Linked DNA regions of Schizosaccharomyces pombe. Changing the gene in region 1 together with any one later gene gives a genetic interaction. Each region holds a gene or a part of one and is shown on either strand. Other genes may lie near its edges.

The links.
Region 2: mutations in omh6 (region 1) and spf30 together harm fitness less than expected from each alone (positive genetic interaction), as found in Schizosaccharomyces pombe (one large-scale study listed by BioGRID).
Region 3: mutations in omh6 (region 1) and cwf5 together harm fitness less than expected from each alone (positive genetic interaction), as found in Schizosaccharomyces pombe (one large-scale study listed by BioGRID).
Region 4: mutations in omh6 (region 1) and nup37 together harm fitness less than expected from each alone (positive genetic interaction), as found in Schizosaccharomyces pombe (one large-scale study listed by BioGRID).

The regions. Positions count from the first base shown.
Region 1 is NC_003424.3:3,390,473-3,396,647, forward strand, and holds omh6 (alpha-1,2-mannosyltransferase Omh6), read right to left. Parts: upstream 3,773-6,175; 5' UTR 3,478-3,772; coding exon 3,011-3,477; exon of another isoform or gene 2,940-3,010; coding exon 2,653-2,939; intron 2,635-2,652; exon of another isoform or gene 2,557-2,634; coding exon 2,414-2,556; 3' UTR 2,219-2,413; coding exon of another isoform or gene 1,437-2,218; 3' UTR 1,278-1,436; downstream 1-1,277. Other genes in the region: U3 snoRNP-associated protein Utp7, read right to left, coding at 1-918; SPOM_SPAC959.11 (uncharacterized protein), read right to left, coding at 1,437-1,802; tRNA-splicing endonuclease subunit Sen15, read left to right, coding at 1,787-2,218; pdi4 (protein disulfide isomerase), read right to left, coding at 5,213-6,175. UniProt on the Schizosaccharomyces pombe protein: Probable mannosyltransferase involved in O-glycosylation of cell wall and secreted proteins.
Region 2 is NC_003421.2:1,381,156-1,386,221, reverse strand, and holds spf30 (splicing factor Spf30), read left to right. Parts: upstream 1-2,677; 5' UTR 2,678-2,796; coding exon 2,797-3,732; 3' UTR 3,733-4,167; downstream 4,168-5,066. Other genes in the region: chaperone EMC4, read left to right, coding at 1,609-2,190; cell wall alpha-1,3-glucan synthase Ags1, read right to left, coding at 4,818-5,066. UniProt on the Schizosaccharomyces pombe protein: Involved in spliceosome assembly.
Region 3 is NC_003421.2:1,184,672-1,189,509, reverse strand, and holds cwf5 (Prp19 complex subunit, RNA-binding Cwf5), read left to right. Parts: upstream 1-1,887; 5' UTR 1,888-1,941; coding exon 1,942-2,217; intron 2,218-2,268; coding exon 2,269-2,625; intron 2,626-2,685; coding exon 2,686-3,117; downstream 3,118-4,838. Other genes in the region: Ski complex RNA helicase Ski2, read left to right, coding at 1-1,775; coa4 (respiratory chain complex assembly protein), read left to right, coding at 3,343-3,492, 3,539-3,622; THO complex subunit Tho1, read right to left, coding at 4,342-4,838.
Region 4 is NC_003424.3:4,867,857-4,872,866, reverse strand, and holds nup37 (nucleoporin), read right to left. Parts: upstream 2,524-5,010; 5' UTR 2,368-2,523; coding exon 2,342-2,367; exon of another isoform or gene 2,291-2,341; coding exon 2,214-2,290; exon of another isoform or gene 2,141-2,213; intron 2,045-2,140; coding exon 972-2,044; 3' UTR 841-971; downstream 1-840. Other genes in the region: hit1 (HIT zinc finger domain-containing protein), read left to right, coding at 114-181, 295-691; SPOM_SPAC4F10.17 (uncharacterized protein), read right to left, coding at 3,908-4,279; SPOM_SPAC4F10.16C (P-type ATPase), read left to right, coding at 4,757-5,010.

The DNA.
Region 1 (6,175 bases):
AGGGGTGTAATAGGAGTGAAGCTCTTTGTAAGTTCGAAGGTCCCAAACTTTCAGTAAACTATCGGCACCAGCGGTAACCATATATCTGCCATCACGATTTACTGCCAAATCACGTACAGGCCCGCGATGAGTAAGCATTTTGACAAGAGGTGTAGTTGAAGATGGAGACCAGAGGGTAACCTGGCCATTTGCATGACCAACATGTTCAACAGCGTTATGGGGATTTTGATGTAATACATGGCTAGCACCCATTCCGGTACGGTGTTCTGCAACCAATTGTCCAGTAGAGACATCTTGGTATTTCAAATAGCCAGCATTGCCAATACTGGTCAATAGTAAGTGATATGGCAAAAAATCTAGAGCATTCACTTCGATATGCCGCTTCAAACAGTGAATTTCTGTTCCCATATTATCGTAAACGTAAACATACTTCTTTTGTGCAACAGCAAAATATTGATGGTTATGAAACCATTTAACATCTCGAACGGTCTCTCTTAAATGTAGCTCTGTGAGTAATTTACCAGTACGCCAGTCAAACGCGGAAATATGACCTTTTCTTCCACCTAATAAAATCATTCTTCCATCTCTTGTATAATCAAATGAGTAACCACCAAACTTATCCAAATCCAAGGAGAAAGACTTTGTAGCCGTCTCAAGTGCAACATTAGGAGCCAGTTGATCTTGACGAAACTTGTATGTCCTTTCAAGGCCCTCGGCTTCCAAAAGACCGGGATTATCTTCATGTAAGATTTCGGTTTTCGCCAAGGAAGACTCAACATTCTCAATTCTCTCCTCGATTTTCTGAATATTGCTTCGAAGCTTTTTATCCTTGATTTTCTTTGGATTCAGCTTGCGCCCTCTAGAATATTTTTTTGTAGAAGCATTAACATCCTCCAAATTCAACTTTTGAGCAGACATAATGCTAACTAAGTAAAGATATTAGTGAGGAAAAAAGATTTTTTTTTCTTTTTAGGCCTGATTATACAAAAAAAATGAAGCAGTTTTCTAATAAACAATTCTTTCCAAAATTTAGGTATCTCCCTTAGTCAAAAAGTTAGAAACCCTTCAATTTTTACACAAATGTATTATGTAAACGAAGTGATAGTTAAAAAATTCAAACACTACGTTCGACTTCGATTCTATGACCCAACAGTAGGTTTAGGTTGAGGGCAGGTGGAATGTAGTTCTAGGAATAGGATTTGTGCGTTCTTATTGTAAAAAATCAGAAACTACTACTAACACAATTAGATACAAACCACAATTATTTACAAATAATACAAGTATAATAAAATAAAATTTCATAAAAATTAAGTATGCAAAATAAAAACAAGAAAATTTTAAAAGTAAACCCGAAACCCAGTAAAAACATTATAAGTTCAGACAATGGCCAATGCCAAAACTGCGAAATGAACCATGAAACGAAAATAGCTCAGGAATTAATTCTCCTGCTTTTTGGTCATGGAAAGAAGCTGGATCGAATTGGATATATCGCTCATCTTCGAACCGCTATTATGAGCACTTCTTAGTACGCTCTGCGTAGTGTTGTAATCATCAATACTCTGTAAAAGGACGTTTTGTTGGTATTTGTTGTTTTTAGAGGAGTTTTTGTTTTGTTTTGAGGATTTCTTAACTCCTTTTGAAGTCTGTTTAGGCTTTTTTGACTGCTTGTTCCTTTTCTGTGCCATTTGGTTGAAGTTAAAAGTTTTATCACGGAGGCGATAATTCATTTTTTCAACAAAATTTTCCTTCTCAAAAGTAAAGATATATTTATTATAAACAAATACACATGCAACATAATACATTTCTCCCTAACGATGCTGTAGAAGAGCAAAAGCAAAATCCATACTATGGAATACTGAGAGCAGTGGAAACCGACTTAAGGCTCGGTCAACGTTGGTGTGAATTAAAGGTACATGTTCTTGATATTGACTTAAAAACAAAAAGGCCTTTACTCTCAGGGATTCCCGTAAATGGACAGCTCAAAGACAAATTGCAATATGTTCTGCCGCTTTACCTCCAAGAGACAATTTCGATCGAGTTTCTGTCCTCTGTTTTCGATTCTATGAAGAAACTGAGCCTTCCACTTGTAAAGGATGCTCGAGGTCTTTCTGGAGATGAGTTTTTCCTATACCTGGGAATCATGTGTTCTGACTCAACGATAGTATATTACAAGATCACCGATGGACTTATAAAACCAAGGCAAAATGATGAAGAATAAACACATGATATATACATATTTATTGATTAGGATTGAAAAACGGAAAGACAACGCTATAATTTTACCACTACCAGATTAATTTTTCACTTCAAGTGTCTCAACGTTTGTAAATGAAAATGCACATATTACAATAACTTTCATAAAACAAATTCGTATGAACAAAAATTTTCTGTAAAGCTCATTCATCAATTAATATCACAAACATGCACATCTTCCTGTGTATGGAATAGTTTCTGGGCAATAATGAACATCATCGTTTAAGAAAAATCCCACTGATTCCATATGATTAGCACGCGCTCTTAAAACACCAAATGCTGCTGAAAGGATATCAGACTCGGCTAAATAAATGTCAGCAAAAAGTACAACGTGAAGCATTTATATTAGAAACAGGTTAAATAAAGTCATTTCCAAAATTGAAGAAGCAATTTACTTACTCCAGCGATGATAATATGTTCCTCCTGAACCAAGCAAGTAATTAATTAGGTTGGTGTAGGTCTGATTATGCCGAATTTGCTTTAGAGATAAAATTTCATTAAAAGGCCAGTATTTACAATAGGTGTAGTTGTTACTATAAACCCAGATATTGCTGAAATCTCCTTGAGTGTTTAAAATTTTGTATTCTTCAATTGCCTCTTCCATAGCATATATACCAGAGTGTTTACGTTCACAGACGTGGTTTGTAAATACAATGTCGCTGTCTTTGAAAGTAGAAAATATATCTCTGAACAAAAATATTAGTTAGGTTTCCTGAAAAAGAAGAACGAAATAAACAAGTTTTACCGAGTTTCTTACTTTTTTTCTTCACAAACCAATTTGAGCCCGGGTTCTATTCTCCAAACATAATCGTATTCCAATTGAGGATGATATAATAAAGATCGAACTACCCAATCTTGAAAACTGTGAAACAAAGGAGAGTATACGTAAGATAGATTCTCTTGAGCAAGTGCATCTGCTCGTTGTTGATAAAGTCGATTGTTTTCAACTAGGGGTTTTACTTGAGAAAGATCCCAATGCACTAAGTAAGAGATAGTTAGAATAAATTGTAAATGATTGGTATAAGTTATTCCCTTCGTACCGTATTCACAATGACCAGACGCAATCGTGCTTGTCGTACTCATAAAGTATTCCGTAAACTCATCCATGCCGTAAAACGTCCAAGGATAATGAAACCTCTTATTAAATCTATCCTCTACGCTACGCATCGTGCGCAACACTTCCCCAAGTTCAGCATTACTAGAAAACAGAATTAGAAAGTACATCTCAAATGGCACCGTACGCGGTAAACATCAGAAAAGAAGCACTCAAATTGGAGCTTTGAGGTTCATTAAGAATCACATATACATTGTTGGGTTCATTTACAGAGAATCCATTCAACCAGGTAAATACAATTGGTAGTATGGAAAGTAAAAGTTCGTAAAACATAATGAAGCTTAAACACGAGCAGAACTTTCCCTGTTATGAGAAGTAACTAGTTCAACTAACGTATGACTCCAAAAGTAACGCATAGAAAGTGGATTTGAAGGAATTTAACTGAAATTGCCTAAGACAATGGTTAAGGGCAAATGTTAATACCCTGCTAGAGATTTGACCTTAGAAAAGAGAGCTCTTTGAGTATAAATATTTATTTTTAGCAAATCAATTTTTGTATACAATGTTTGATGGGTAGATCACTGAAAGAATCTGCTAACGAGCATAATCTTATAAATGACATTTGCATAAGCGTACTGATAGTCGCTATGTCGAGCTGTTATTACTGTTGGAATATTTAAGTTCTATCAAAGGAATTATAAAATTTGCATTCGTCTTTTATAATGGTTTTTAATGTCTATTAAACAATTCATTGTTGCTGATGAATGTAAACAAAAGCAATAAGTTTAAGTATAGGAAAGCTTCAGCTGTTCTAGAATACAAACTCAGTAAAATGTTATAAAATAATATTTCATAAACCCAAGTGGCATATGTATCTTAAGACATTTTCCCAATATCTGCAAACTAATTCACTACTTTCGATCAAATTATATACTGTGGTTGTTCATAATGCACAATCTTATTTTAACGAGCCTTTTTTTTTGCTTTCTGGAAACACCAAAATTCCTAGACTACTAAGGGTAAAACAGTCACTAGGGTTAGGGTTGTAATTTTCAACAAACTATATAAAGTCTCGTTTGCACTTCGTTATAACCTATCATGAATCTGAAGTTACATTGTTCAGATTCTTTCGAGAATCTTGCGTGTAACATGGTTGGCGTGTAGAGGTTGACAAGAGTACAGACAGGGCGGCGATTGTCCTTGCAGTTTCGACTGCAGGTTGAGAGTTGGCGTCTTGCCATGAAAATTGACTAAAGGATGCTGCGTAGCCTAGCCAACAGATTCTAAAACGATTGGAGTGATCCTGATCCTTCTCCTTTGGAGAGGAATTGGTTGATCCTCTGACAACTGTATATTCCTAAATCTTTCGCTACATGATCTCTGGATCCTTGCAGTTGGGTAAAACCATACAGTTGACATTTTTCATTTGGGTAGTTCTTCTTTTATGATAGTTTAATCATGTGTATGAATACGATTAATTATTTTATTACAATTTTACTTTGTCATTTAAAACTGAATTTTTTAAACTTCCAATTCGCTGTTAATGAACAAATAAAAATGGGCGTTGTGATGTTTTGATGAGAAACAGGCTGACCTGTCGATGTAGTTTTCGTTTGTACAGCTTGACCGTTTGAGGTAGGTTGCCAGTATGGTATTTTGTATACTTAAACTGAATTTTTAATGATAATATTCTCGTCATATTTTGAGGTACTTTGTTTTCGTGTATAAGTCCTTGTCAAATTAAATGGACTACAAAGTTTTTAACAATCAGTTTTGTGGGCTGTTTGTAGCAACATCACAAGTGTATTAGCAATAAATGATTTAGAAATGCTACCCTAAGAGAGTATATAAAAAAAACCTTTCGCTCCTTTTCATCGTTTACTAGGTCGTTGAATTGTCAACATTTCAGTCTGATTTGGCAATTACAAGCGAATGATAAAAACCAAAAACTGGTTGCTTGTTCAGCAGTTGTCGACGCCGACGGGAAAGCCTGCTAGCTGAAATAATTGTCAGGATGCTCAATATTAGTAAAGCAATGAGCAAATTAAAAACTATAAGTTTGTATCTATTCCTGTAATTGGGGCTACCGTTTGGACATAGGCCCGGTGCACGCAGTTTTTGAAGACGAGATGAGTTAGGGTGCTCTAATATAATCCTTAATGTGGAAAATAGAGAATCTTCTTCTAACGTAAGTGAGTTGCCGTTTCTGTCACTCACATAGATTACGCCTTTCGAGTGATCTATCACAAACACTGGTGGTGTGATAGAATCTACATAAACAGTATGGTCCAAATTTTCCACAATCCAATCCAACCATAAAGAAGAATCTAACCATAAAAATGAAACTGACTCAGTATAAGTAGGATGTGATATCTTCGAGTACTTAATTCGCTTCACTTTCCTCGCGAACCCTTTCTTTTTAGCTTCAGCTATCGCACTATATTTCTTAATTCTACTCCAAACTATATCATTTCTTTGTCGTTGCATTTGAAATCGAAACCATCTCTTTCCAAGCCGCAACAATTCTTCTTGACTTGAAAAAAACTGTTCAGAATCTGGCTGAAGTAAGGTCAAAACAGTAAGCTTTCGATTCAGCAGACTGTGGCATTTTGTCGGGGTTAGCTCTGTAATAAAAGGGGAGGAAACTATGTTAATCCACTCAGTAATTCGTTTATAATCTCGAAACTCACGGGGTGTAATTGCCTGATAAACTATTGGCATTCCATTGCGAACAGCAATAATGCTAGGCTGAGACTGTGCCCCATATTTATTCGCGAGCGCCTTCGAATTACAAATGTATAATGGAGCAACACCAGCAAGCTGTAATTTCAGACGTTCAATGATACTGAAATCTTCTGAAGTAGTTGC
Region 2 (5,066 bases), on another chromosome or scaffold:
GAAGTTAGTTACAAAAGCGCGAATTGCTTTTATTTGAGGGGTCTTAGAAAACTGTGAACGGTATAAAAGAGCAGTAATGAAACAATGGAAACTAGAGTCGTATTTAATGTTGTTCAATTTCCAAAGGCTGCCTTTGAATTAGTCGTAGCAGCAATTCTAGCAAACAAGCTATTTGAAAATAAACAAAGTGTCTTTTATATTTCGTTGAATATATTTATGTGAGATTCGAGTGCAAGGAGAATCATTCCGTTTTAAAGAATGGAGGACTTGAAATGGTTTATAAATTGTAAAGAATTTCGTTGAAGGTTCACGTTGTTTTCGACTTTGCTCTATCATAGCAGAACGGCAAGTTTTTCCTCTTGATATTATATATTTTTAAAAATTAGACGCTCGGTCTTACAAGTTATTTCAGGCAATATTAATATACAAGGACAATTATCACTTCTTATGCGCAGTCATATATCATAAACAAGAAGTCTTTTGAACGGAAACTCGAAACAGGAGAAAAGCAAGCATTATCAGTATCGGTAAGGTAATCAATAACAATACATTACACGATTAAAAAGCGATTATTTCAAAATAAATTTCCAGTAATGTTCATTTTTTTTCTTTATGCTTCGAAAATGCACTTACTTTTTAGGCAGAGTATATTGAGTCGTACAACTCAATTTTGGGCTTGCGGCAATATGTTAAAACTCATATTCTAGAATAAGAAAAAAATTCTCACAAAGAGTGCCCTCCAAAACACGTCTTCCTAAATATTTACACCATGAGTACTTTCATACTGTATCCGATCTTTGTTTATGTAATAGCTTGGCTAACGAGATTATGCTTAAAAAGTTACAAAACGATATGTTCTTTATCCATTGAATATTTGAAAACATCTCAGTGTAAAAATATCAATCATTGAGCATGGTATTACCATTGTAAGATAAAGAGTCAGAACTTTTTCAAGATCAAGATCCTATATCCATAAAAGAAACCAAAACTAATTCCAGCTGTAATCAATAATGATCGTTGGGTTTGATAATTAACAAGAAATCATTAACATTAGATGTTTAAGCGTTGTACATATTCATATCCGGGCCATGAGACAGTAGAAAACCAAAGAAAGCACAAAAGCAAGTTAATCTTGAACTTTTATAACAGGATGGCTTTCTTTTTGCCATTGTTTGCGCTTGTATTTTTGGGATTCATTAGCTGATGGGCTTTTCACTATTACCACCAGTTTCGTTCCTTAGCATCTGCCACCTCCACTATATTGTTTATTTTGAAATATTATATTTTGAGGCGTGTTCTCAAATTATTTAGACCAGAAAATTTTTAACTTCAACCAAAGTTATTAATTTGCTTGAAAAGATTGTTCTACCACCCAACTTACATCAAATAACGAAAAACTGAGATTGACTTCTGGTGAAATATCTTGTTTCAGAAACATCAAATAAGGCTGGTCTTCGTATTTTAGAAACATAATTGAGGTGCTACCAATACTTTTTGACTGTAGGTTAGCTGCAATCAGGCTTTTCATTCATTGACTAAATTTATTCCTTGGTTTACGAGTCCAAAAATTTAGTCGCAACTTTAAATTTCTCTTTTTTCCCTTTCAAGATGCACATTAACGAAGAAACAGATTGGATCGATTTGGTCAAACCAGCGTTAGCAAAGAAGCCCAAAAAGATCGTTGACAATTCTGACAAGTTCCCTACGCCTCGAGGATTTCAACAGAAGTCGTTGGTTTCCAAAAACATTCATTCAGGAAATTCAGCTTCCTCAACTTCCATATTTGCTAAACGAGAGGAAGAATTACAAAAGGATCTCTTACTAAAGAAAGCATGGGAGCTTGCATATTCCCCCCTTAAACAAATTCCTATGAACGCTATTTTAGCATACATGTCTGGTAATTCACTACAAATTTTCAGTATTATGACGACTCTTATGTTGCTTGTAAATCCACTGAAAGCAATAACATCTACAGGATCTGCCTTCACCCCATTTAAAGGCACCCACCCAGGAACCCTTTGGCCCGCTATGGGTGCTTATATTTTATTCCAATTATTGCTTATGGGGATTGGAGTCTATAAGCTGCAAAGAATGGGATTATTGCCAACGACTACCAGCGATTGGCTTGCCTGGGAAGTCTCGAAGGTCTTTATGGATCGATCTTATGGTCCTAGTAAAACTGTTTTGTAAGAATTTCATTTACTCCAAAATTTTAAAGATATACGAGTGAAATCGTTAAATTATAGTACCTCCTAATGCCATTGCTTCTAGCTGACCTAGAAAATAATAAATTCATATAAAGAAGGAATGCTTGGAGTTCGGAAACATATTGTCTTCTGGATTAATAATTTATCCTCCATTATGCGGCATTAAACGTTCAATGCCTTTAATCGATATCATGCACGCCATAAACGAACCTCGAAAATACTTGATTATCCAGTTCTTTTTACCCATCCATAGTTTTCGAGAGCATGAAATTTTTGATAGAATACTTTCTTTTACGTCTTGATTATACTGAATATAGAAATATCAAATATTCTTCTTTGTTTTAACTATTATCAATAATGTCTTAGTATATTGAGTTAAAGAATTAGTGCTTTTAGTATAAATTTAATCTCACTCCAATATTGTTTTCTTCACCCTAGTGTAATAGCTGAGCTTAATTTTCAGGCACTTCACTGAGCGCCTGCTTCACATATTATCTACACTTACAACCGGTTTTGGCGATAAAGCCATTACACTTGGAAATTTTTACTGTTTGAAAAAAAAATCTATTAAATCTATAAAAGTAATCGTATGGAGAAGGAATTAGAGGAATACAAGAGCCAGCTTGCTCTCGTTCAAATTTCTCTTCAGAAGACTCCCCAAAACGAGGAATTACAGTTACTGGAAAATGATTTAAAGGAATTAATTAGCCTTACTGAAAACTTACTACAAGAAAGTGTAGAAAATGATAAAAATACGTTTCAAAATTCCCAAAATGGTGTTGCAGGTTTCAATACTTCAAAGCCAGTACATATCGACTTTACGCCTGGAAATTTAGTAATGGCCCGATGGGTTTCAGGAGATTATTTATTTTATCCTTCACGTATTACTGCTGTTTCAGGCTTCGGTGCAAACAAAAAGTACACAGTACAATTTCTTGACTATCCTGACATTGAAACTGTTTCCCTCAAACATATTAAGGCCATGCCTGAGGAAAAACGTCAGGAAATAGAAGGAAATAAAGAAATTCTCAAAAAATCTACCACTATACGTAGTACACCTGTTAGAGAGCCTACAAAAGCAATATCTGTAGCATCTATGTCTACAAGTCCTTCCAATTATGCGTCTCGTGCCTCTTCTCCAGATATGAAGAGTTCGGCGGCTGTAACGGCTAACGTATCTCCGATCCAAAATGTCGCTCAGCATGTTTCAACCCTACCAAAGATCTCTCCCATTCCTCCCTCTAACCCTCCACCTGTTCCTAGTGTTTCATACTCCCAAAAGCAGCAAAAACAACTAAAACCTAAAGCAGCACTTGAAGCATCACAAAATTCTTGGAAACAGTTTGCTGCTCGAGGTGTAAAAACTGGACGCGTTGGCAAACGAAAGAAGATTGGAGAATCTAGTATATTTAAAAGCACTGAAGATTTTCCTGGAAGGACAAACCCTAAAAATTTTGGAAATGTTGCGAGGTCTGGGCATCGCGAAAAGCACATCTATAATTATAGAGAAGACGAAGATAGCTGAGCAATGTGTCTTCATTTGAAACTTGGTATTTAATTAATAGGCTTTTAACAGCCGCTGTTTATGTTTTCATTTATATATTTTTTGGTGCAATAAGCATAAATAAGCTTTTTACAGATCTTTAACCTAATTTCTGATGAAGCTGTCCTGGTTTTCCATATTTAACAAATTGTTCGTCGCATTGTCTACAGCTATAAAACAATTCTTTTGTTGTTGTTGGTGTATACATTAGAGAGGAATGAGTAATTAGAAAAGAATTATTACCTTTCGCATCTTAAGAATTTAACAGCCATAGACTACTTTTTTATATTCACATCTGCATACGGTTTTATGAATAGCATCATTACTATTTTCTGATGCGAAATAGTCATTTCGTTCTTAAACAATAGATCCATTTCCCGTGACATTTGCTAATTGTATTCCACCAAAATTTGACTTCTTAGTTTACAATAGTTGGTGAAAGTAAATCGGTGGTGGTACTATCTTGTCTCGCCATGCTCTTTTAAATAACGGCAACTTATGTTTTTAATAGCATTGTTACATGATAAACTGAAATATTCTATTTGTCATTCGTATTCTATAAGAGGTATATAAAGCCGTATATGTTGAGGGATCATCCACAGACAGCAATGAAAACTAGCTCCTCTAATATACTAGTATTACAAAAAATCTAATTGTATGAAAGAAATCGGTAAGCATACAAAGGGCGGATAGATTTAATTTTGTTTTAATGGAAACATGTAACACTTATCATAAAATGTAGATACTATGCTAATTGAAATTTATAATGCAATTTATGTATGACCAAGTGATATTCCCTTAAATAAAGCTTAGATATAACACATTCTCGTCAGCAAAGCCAAATGCCAACGGAAACTAGATAAGAATAGTAACAAGGATATGAGGAAGTTAAATAAGGTGGATATAGAATATAATGAAACATAACTTGAAGTATTCATTTAAAAGACCTGATGCTCAACAAGACCGAGCTTGGAGGATATTTTGTTTAAAACATCACAGTAACTGTACATGCTCCGATTTCGTGAACTTCAATTAAAATTTCGCTTTGTAAGACTAAGACTAGAAAACTAAGGACGACTAAGGTTTTCACGACGGAAGAAGGCCAAATAACCTACGCAAATAGCAAGTTGACAAATAATATTAATCCAAAAAGGTGCGCTTGCTAAGATTGAAGAGCCATCACCATGATTCCATTTAGTAAAGTCAATAAATACATTAGCAGGTCCCTCACGGTTGGGTGATGCACCACGTCCGATCATTGTAGCAACGGCACCAACTATCTGTCCAGTCATAAGCGTACTTGCTACGTGACGACG
Region 3 (4,838 bases), on another chromosome or scaffold:
TGTTACCCATCATCAAGGAAATAGTAGAAATCCTTTTTCAAAGAGGGTTGGTGAAGGTTCTGTTTGCTACTGAGACCTTTGCAATGGGTGTAAATATGCCTGCAAAATCGGTGGTTTTTTCCGGTACACAAAAGCATGATGGACGGAACTTCCGTGATCTTCTTCCCGGAGAGTATACACAATGCTCTGGACGCGCTGGACGCCGTGGTCTTGATGTCACTGGTACAGTTATTATATTATCGCGTTCAGAACTTCCTGACACAGCTTCGTTGAGACACATGATTATGGGGCCTTCGTCTAAGCTTATAAGTCAATTTCGCTTAACATATAATATGATACTTAACCTCCTACGTGTAGAGACGCTTAGAATTGAAGACATGATTAAACGCAGCTTTAGTGAAAACGTTAACCAAACATTGGTGCCTCAGCACGAGGAAAAAATAAAAAGCTTTGAAGAAAAGTTGTCGGCTTTAAAGAAGGAAATGTCTGATGTTGATTTGAAAGAAATTAAAAGTTGTTTATTGAGCAGTGAATCTTTTAAAGAGTATACCAAAAAAATGCACTTCCGAGCAATAACTACTGCAAATGGCAAAAGAATATTTAAAGATGGAAGAGTCATTGTTTTTCAACAACTTGATTTTACTCGCACTGTTGGAGTTCTACTCGGAACATCCATTAGAACCAATGCTTCAGACTGTACACTGGAAGTTGCATATTTAAATCCACAGAACAACCTCAAACGACCATCGGATTTACTTGCTTTTGCTGACGCGTTCAATGATGTTTATGATAACGCTATCTTTGATGAATCAAACCAATTCAAGTATGGCCTTATCAATCTTTCCGGTATTGAAAGAGTCTGCAATACGATCCTTCGAATTGATTCTGGTGGAATTAGAGACCGTCGAGGGGGGGCTTTTCGAAAACTTAGTGAACAATTTGCATCAATTAAAAAGTTTTCCGACCTGCTTTTTGAAGAAGTTAATTGGAGTAAAGTCAGAGACTTTGAATTTTGTGAAGCTTTCGAAAAACGAAATTTTCTTCAGAACAAGTTATCCGGAAATCCAATTATCTCGACTCCAAACTTTCTTACTCATTTCGCCTTAGCTTACCAAGAGTATGAATTGGAAAGCAATATCGATAACTTATCTTCCTATATTTCCGATCAAAACCTAGAGTTACTGCCTGATTACGAACAACGGATAAAAGTATTGCAAGAACTAGGATATATTGACGCAGAGCGAACTGTTTTACTAAAGGGAAGAGTCGCATGTGAAATTAATTCCACCAGTGAATTGGTATTAACAGAGTTGATTTTGGAAAACAGTTTGGCGGACTTTTCTTGTGAAGAGACAATAGCATTGTTGTCTGCATTTGTTTTCGATGAGAAAACGGAGGTTGAACCCACAATTTCTCCTCATTTACAAAAAGGAAAGGAAATGATACTATCAGTGGCCGAGAAAGTTAATCAAATTCAAGAGCACTATCAGGTATTGTATTTTAATGAAGGTAATGATTTTGAATCACAACCACGATTTGGTTTAATGGAGGTTTGCTACGAGTGGGCTAGAGGGATGTCTTTCAACCGTATCACAGACTTAACAGACGTTTTAGAAGGATCGATTGTAAGAACAATTATAAGACTTGATGAAGTTCTACGTGAATGCAGAGGAGCAGCCCGTGTCGTCGGCGATTCTTCCATGTATACGAAGATGGAAGAGTGTCAAAATCTAATTCGCAGAAACATAGTCTTCTGCCCTTCACTGTATATGTGAATTTAATAGTTATATATATTTGTAGATTTAAATGATATTCATATGAAATTTTATGTGTTTTTCACGAATTTTATTTGTCTTAAAAGTCTTCGTATTCCACCTTGCAAAGTTTAACACCACCACATATTTACAAAGATTAGCATTGCAAGAGAATTGCGTTTCTAATATGTCTCATGGACCAAAAGGTGATATAAATAAACAAGAATGGGAGGATGTTGAATTTCCAAGCATCTGTGAACGTTGTTTGGGCGACAATTCATATGTTCGTATGACTAAGGAGCCACTTGGACAAGAATGTAAAATTTGCTCAAAACCTTGTACAATCTTTCGGTGGATAAAAGAACGCGGCCAAAAGCCTGGAAAAACTCAAATTTGTGTTGGTTGCGCCAGATATAAGAACTGCTGTCAGAGTTGCATGCTTGATTTGCAATTTGGTTTACCGGTAAGTTCAATATTTCATTCAACTATAATAGTCAGCTAACGTTCCATGAAGATTGCCCTGAGGGATGCAGCCCTAAAACTGGTCGAAAGCGGTCCCACTAACGATATTAATCGCGAATTCTTTGCTCAAAATCAACAACGCCTGTTAAGTAATGGCGAAACGGCCTACGATAGCCAGGAAGCAAGCGCCGCTGCAAGAAATCTTGTTAAAAAGGTAGAAAAACGAGAATTACATTCAAGACCTCCTAAGCGAAAATTAGATGATGTTGAGTCTAAGCAAATATTAAAGGAGGCTCGAGCATCTGATGCATCTTTAAATGCAGAACGCCCATTATTTCCGGTTAAAAAAATTATTAATGGGAATGTTTCCTTGTCTATTAATATGGAACCTCCTAAAGATAAAAAAATCGTAAGTGCGACTTAAAAGTAATTTAAGCTTGATGGCGCATTGTATTGTGCTAACATTTAGGCATCCCTTTTCCTTATTGGCGTCGAAGATGAACTAGCTGACTATAAAATTCGTAAACATTTTGAACAATATGGGCCTCTTAAATCAGTTGTGTGTTCTCATCGAGCAAAATGCGCATTCGTAAACTTTAAAACTCGTTCTAGTGCTGAGATTGCGGCGGCGGCATCTCCCGATGGAAATGTTGTTATAGAGGGGTTTCGACTGAAAGTTCAATGGGGAAAACCTCGTTCTCTTGGAGGACCTGAGGGTGAAGTACGAAACGCAAAGTTGGCAGACCTTGTGATGCGAGGTTCATCCCATGGAAATAAAACCTCCCAAAAATCTACGATTAAAAACATTGAAAATGAAGATCATGAAAATACTAAAAGCCCTGCAGTTGCTATACCCATTGACCCCAATCAACCCCGTTACCGATCTCAAATTCCGCGGTGAAGTCAGTTGGTCATTTAAAACCTTTGTAGTAGCTATTAACTTATTTTCTCTAATACTGACAAGCTTTATTCTGTATTTTCTTGTTTATTTGTCTTTGCACCTTTTCTGTCGTCTCTCGGTCATTCTCCTTAAATAATCAAATATCTGCTGCTTTACCTTACTCAGCAAAACACTTTGGGTTTTGCATATTTTTTACATTATAAAGCATCAATTTATTTTTTCTGAATGGATAGTATTGAAAAAACTCCTGACGGAGAAGAAGAGGAAAAAGATGTATGGGACACTGCTCTTGAAAAAGGTGGATGTGTAGAAGAGCACCTTCGACTGAATGATTGCTATTGGGATACTCATGATTGGAGGAAATGTACAGAACAGGTAATTATATGTCTTTAAAAAATTTAGCTAATTCTGATATTTTTAGATGGAAGAATTCAGGAAATGTTGGGAAAAGAGACATGGTCCTTTGCCAAGTATCTCAGACAAAAAAAATAAAAATTTATCTTAATGAGTTTCTATATCATGTGATTTTGTGAAAAAAATAATTATTCTGTTTACGGCAGTTTTAGTACGCTGTTATTAGGATGAATTCTTTTTATTGAAAAAGATATAATGCATGCGGAACTAATTAATTGGATTCTTCAAATACGAAGACAGTGTTTCAAATCATTAACTCATTTGATATAATTTTTTTGAATATTTTCTGCAATTGCAGAGTTTTCAGCTATTTATTTTACGAAGTCTCAGTTGTCATAGTGCATCAATTTTTCTGTGTTATGTGGTATGGTAAAGCAAGTTATGACTTAGTATTGAATTGATAGGATGGAGTTTAAATACGCAAAAACATATTTTACAATTCAACGTTGTTGTCAAATTGTATAAGTCTGTTTCAAATCTGATCCATCGATATTGGAAAAGTTCTGTACTTATAACCCGCTTTTATTGTTGCATTTGTTGAAAAATAAAAAATTTGACTTTAGAATGTTTTCATATTGAACATGTGAACGTATTCAACTGTCAAAAAATGTGTGCAGTTTAGTAAATAAGCGTAATTTACCCATCAATAAACAATGAAATTCATCTTTACAGTAGCTCTACTAAAAGGATGTAATTTTATTTTATATAAGCGCATACAAAAACACGCTAGATCAAAACATTAACTATATATACATTTTCTGACTCAATCATAACTAAGCACTTATCACATATGTGTAATTGATTTAATGATTATAATACAATTTCTCCATCCTCTCCAGTTTTTGGCCTTTTAGGGCTTGAATGAAGGTCAGAAGGTTCATCTTCCTCATCCCGTCCTCGCTTTTTAGTAATCTCTGACTGCTTTTGACTATTTTCAGAAGATTTTGGACTAGATGTTACTTCCAATATAGTTTCAGCAACATTATTCTCTTGCTTTTCAGATATTTTAGAATTTATGGTGGAAGTAATTTCTTCTGTGACCTCAAAGTGATCATCATTTTGTTTTAGTTTTTCAATATTTTCGGGAGATTTCACATGTGAAGATGGGTCCTTTGAAGCTTCAGATGTATTATCATCTTCTGATTTGAGAACCTTATTAACCTGAACCAAAGATTCACCGTTTACTTCACTGTCCACACCCTCAGTTGGGGGTTTAGGTGATACCTTTGGCAAGTCATTTTTATGTTTTCCTTCTTCAACCTCAACGCTTTCTTTTTCCTCTTCATTTTGGACAATATCACCTTCAG
Region 4 (5,010 bases), 1.5 Mb from region 1:
TAGCAAGGTTTGACGTTACTCTATTGCTCTTCTCCCTTTAATCTTATTTTGTTTGAGCTTGTCTAAAAAAAAAGGTTTCTCCTCTAATACATTAGAAAAATTTAAACGCTATCATGACAACTTGTTCAATATGCAACGAATCAGAAATAAAATATAAATGCCCGAAGTGTTCATTTCCTTAGTATGTGCTTGTAAGCTCAGAACAATGCATTTTGTTTCAATACACATTAACCCATGAACCAATGCTTTATTCTTTTTTTCTGTTTCCTAAAAATACTAATATAGAATTAATAGTTGTTCATTACCTTGCTGGAAAATCCACCAAAGTCAATGTGAGACTGTAAATGACAATAACACAACAACATTCAAAGGAGTTAAAGAACCTTTAAACCCCCCAGAACCTTCTCCTAATGTTATCTACGTTAATGGAAGAATCCCAAGTTTAGCAGAAGAGGCATTGCCAAGTGAAAGTCTTTTGGAATCTATTGTCGAAGATCCTAGCATAAAAAATTTAATTGAAAGTAATGCCGAGCTTTTACATATAATGAAAGAATTAGTGAACCTTGACCGTGAGGAAGAGGGTTCTGTTCCTCTGAAAACCTTAGATGCTATTCAGCAACAGCGGCTACACAATCCATCTTTCGAAAAACTGGCATCCATGATTCTGGAAAAATATTATGCTCAAAAATAATGGGTTTTATCATTGTAACGAACATTTAGAAGATTCAATTCAAATCGCATATCGGTTATTGGAAGTTGAAATATCAAAGGCGATATTTGAACCAAGGCGAATTGTTTACGAAAGCAACACATCCATTTAAAATTTTTAAAAGTAACAGCGTTTACACGATGTTAATACATAGCAAATACTACTTTTTGGTTTAACTATGAACATTAATATTTATTCAATACAATTTCCTCTCCTGAACCCGTTTATTTTAGTTCGATGTTAAGTATATTGTTCTATACCCTCATAATCTCGTAAACCCCATCAATCTGGTAAGCAAAACAGATCCTTCCGTAGCTATAGCAAGATGTGATCCATCTTGGTGCCAGCAAAAGTCAACGATGGGCATACCTAATTGAATAGGAATTGAATTCGAGTCCTTTTCATATGTATTAATGAGCTGTATTAAGCCGTGCTGAGAATGTGCCGTAGCAAAGTAATCCATGTAACGGGGATGTGGGCAAGCACCAAGCAAGGATGGGAACAATGAAATGCCTTGCACGTTGGGCAGTAGATTTTTGGGTCCCAATTTCATAGTGGAATCCGAGATTTCATTGTAATCGTTATTAGCAAAAAGATTCCAACGAAGCCAAGCCCCACTTTTACACATTGCAAGTATACCGCTTCCATCACTTCCGATCCATCGAACGTTAGCTAAAGAGGAAGCAATGCCGCTACTATGACAGGTGTTAACGAGTGGCAGGGTATTCAAAGTCAAAAGCCATGGATTTTTAACCAACTCGGTTTGAGAATTTTCTTCAGCTGATAAATTCAAAGTCCAGTCAAAAATCCTAATATTACCATTCCTTTCTCCAACAATCAATTGATTAGGATTAGATGGGCGAAATTGGACACTAATACCAGGGGAAGACAATGGGTATCCAGCTAAAATAGGCCCTTCATCAGTCAGTCTCCATATAATCAACGTACAATCGTCGCCCACAGATGCTATCACCTGCTCAGCGAGACGATTATCAGCGGAATAGACGTCTGCAATATCGATATCATTCACAAAATTATGATGCCCAGATTTTCCGCCCAACACATGTTGAGTAATAATGGTTTCATTCTTTGTAATTATTAGACGAACTGTATTATCCTGACACACACATGCAAGAAACAAAGAATACACAGGTGAGGAATTCACATTTCCATCGCCATCATGCAAATTCTCAGAATAACTACAGCTAGATGAAAAAGAAAGATGCAAAGTGGGTAACCCAGTTTGAATAGTGAACAACTCTTGTAATGTCAAACCTGTAGATCCGGGCGTCTGTTCTTCTGAAGCACAATAAATAGTGATACCCGTATCATGGCCTGTATAAGGTTAATCATTAGTTTAAAACGTTTAGAGGAATGCTATTTGAAGATAATTGTTTCATTAGCACTGAGGTTTTCTCAAATATTGTAACTTAGGAAAACAGAAAAGAAGAAATGAGTAATACGTAAATTACCATTCGTCGTAACATTCAGATATCTTACATACCTATGGCAAGAAGATTTGAACAGGAAGGAGACTGGGAACACCAAGTCGTTGTATACGGGCGGACATTAAGAGGCAATCTAATAAACAGAAGTTAGAAAGAGACATAAACGAAATAACGCTGAACGTACTGATACTGGTTAGAGGAAAGAGTCATGACGAAAAATAGTTTTCAAAAAAAACGGAAAGAATGAACGCTTTATTGTGCAGACAATAAAAAGATAAAGAAATTAAAAATGCATTTATATATACAAATGGAAAAAGAGAAGTTTCGGCCACGTTTTCTAGTGATATGGTGTTGCAGGTAACTAGTGGGTTACGTGAATTGGATGAAGCTGAAGAAAACGTTCTACCTTACGGAGCCAAAACTACCACCATTAATTTACAAAAAATCAAACGAAAACCTATACAAAGCAGTTTAGATAATGAAACACGATAAATATAACCATTTTAATGCAATTACTAAAATTTGTACTTATACTAAATATCTTTTAATAATTTAACTTATATTCAATTAACAAATAGAGTGTTTACTAAATACATCAAAATAAAACTATATGTAAAAAAACCAACACGATATTCCACTGATTTATTGCAGAACGAAAAGTAATAATTGCGTTCCGTATGAAGTATACAGCGGTTTTATTCTTTCCAACACGTTCCCCAAGCCAATTACATAAACCGTGACACAGGCTTGTGAATAGTGTGGATAAAAACGAATGTAAAGCATTGTAAACGACAAATGGGGTTTTTTATAGCATAATGATCATTTTAGCAGTCACATCTTCTCGTATAAACCAGATTTTGTGGAGGGAGTAAATGCAGTAAATATTGAAAATTTGAAAAAACCTTCGGAAATCTTAGCTTGGGCATTTCATTCTGAGCCGAAATCTTGGCAACTTCAAAAACCCAAGGGCTATGGCTATTCTTGCTTCAAGACTAGTAAAATATAATACAATCGAGTACTATCATGTTGGTGAATGATATTATGTTATTGACTGTAGAGCGTATATAACATGAGAATGTCACTGTACAATAACGGAATTTATTTACTTTAAAAATGTTGGCAAGTTGCAATACAAATTTGAAATTATTGCTTTGAACAGCCTTTGGGATTTATCGCTATGCTTACAACGAGCGGCATTGAATTTACTGGAGTAGAATGGCATGAATGTGTTTGACCAAAATGAGTATTATTACCATTATCCATTACAATGCCTTTATACAACTATCCGGCCTATAGAATAACAAAATTTAAATTTGACCATAGTAGCTGTTGACAGCATGTGGGCCATAAAGTTTTTACATACAGTCAAGTCCATACTAAGGCTAGCATCGGCAATGCAAAATATGCAGTATCACTGCCACGAATACCAGACTATACAACCGGAATATAATTAACACATCTCGCGATAATCTCATTCTTATTTAAATCATGAAATTTTTTTTTTTTGCTATCATCAAAAATTGAATTTATTTTGTAAATAAAAGCCAGGAACCGTTGAACTATGATTTTTAGTTTATTAACAATCTTCTAGCTTCGTTTTGTAAATCATGCATTGTTCGTTCATATAAATCCAAAAAGAAAGCGATGTTTTCAAACGTGAAGCATCTTTAAAATCATAAAGAGCATCAAGGAGCTTGTATACAAGCTTCCACTCAATACATTAACTCGATTCATTTACAAGGAATCCTCTTTATTCCTTTTTAACACCACCATCACGATTCATCCCCTCACGACGAGTTTCTTCGAGTACGTTTTCCGACCGTTGGCTAAATTCCTCTTTTATTTTCTTACCAGCATCTTTCGCCTTTTGCTGATAGTCGGTATCTTTTGCATCCTTGGCAGTTTGCTTTACCGATTGCTTTGCATTCTCAGCCATTTCCTGTGGTGACTTATCTTTGTTTTCATCTATCTTTTTCGAAGCCTTACCAGTTGCTTTTTTGACAGTTTGACTGATTTTCTCAGGTGCTTCTTCCAGTGTTTCTTTTATATATTGACGAATTGTTGTATTAGCAGGATTGGTTGCCTTCCAAGCGAAAGCAATTCTTGCAGCACGAAACGCCATGTTAACAATATGAAGATAAAAAAAATAAAGCAAAAAATATAAAATTTGTGTAAGTTTTAGTTACCAACGCTAGTGGGTATGAACTAAAACGTTATACTTTATCTGTTTATGGTGCCTTAGCAATTTTCCAATTCTGTTTTCTTTTTCAAGACGAAAAAAATTAAACAACAATAAATATGCTTTATTTGTTGTTATTGAGAAATCGTTTATTTACTTTACCCATACCCTTTGCACTGTATATATAGTACACCCCAGCACTTAAGGATTACATCAATACACATCATCTTGCCATACCCATTTTGCCTCCTCAAAGGACTTTCTCTACGCCGAATTTTGAGCTTAATTGAACTAATTCTGTACGTAAGCGATATCAATTCTGTTTATTTCCCAGTTGTGTCATTGGTATCGTCGAACGTTGCAGTCGTTCGTAATTCTGCAACTGATTGGGAAGAATTTGAGGAATTGTAGATCCCTTTGATGCCTAGCCTAATCAATTTTGATGCTATTAGTTCATTGAAATCCTCTTTGCATGGCTTATCCATATGTGCTTTTAATCATCTACACCATGTACCTCAGCACAATGGCTCATTAGCTCATGAGGGACCTACAAACCAAACTGATTATTCTTCTCGTCATCACGAAAGCCAGTTTTCACAAGAAGCACATGCGGAACAACGTTCGAGGGATGATGAGGAAGCTAACTCTTTTGAAGGTTCGTGTAACAACTCAGA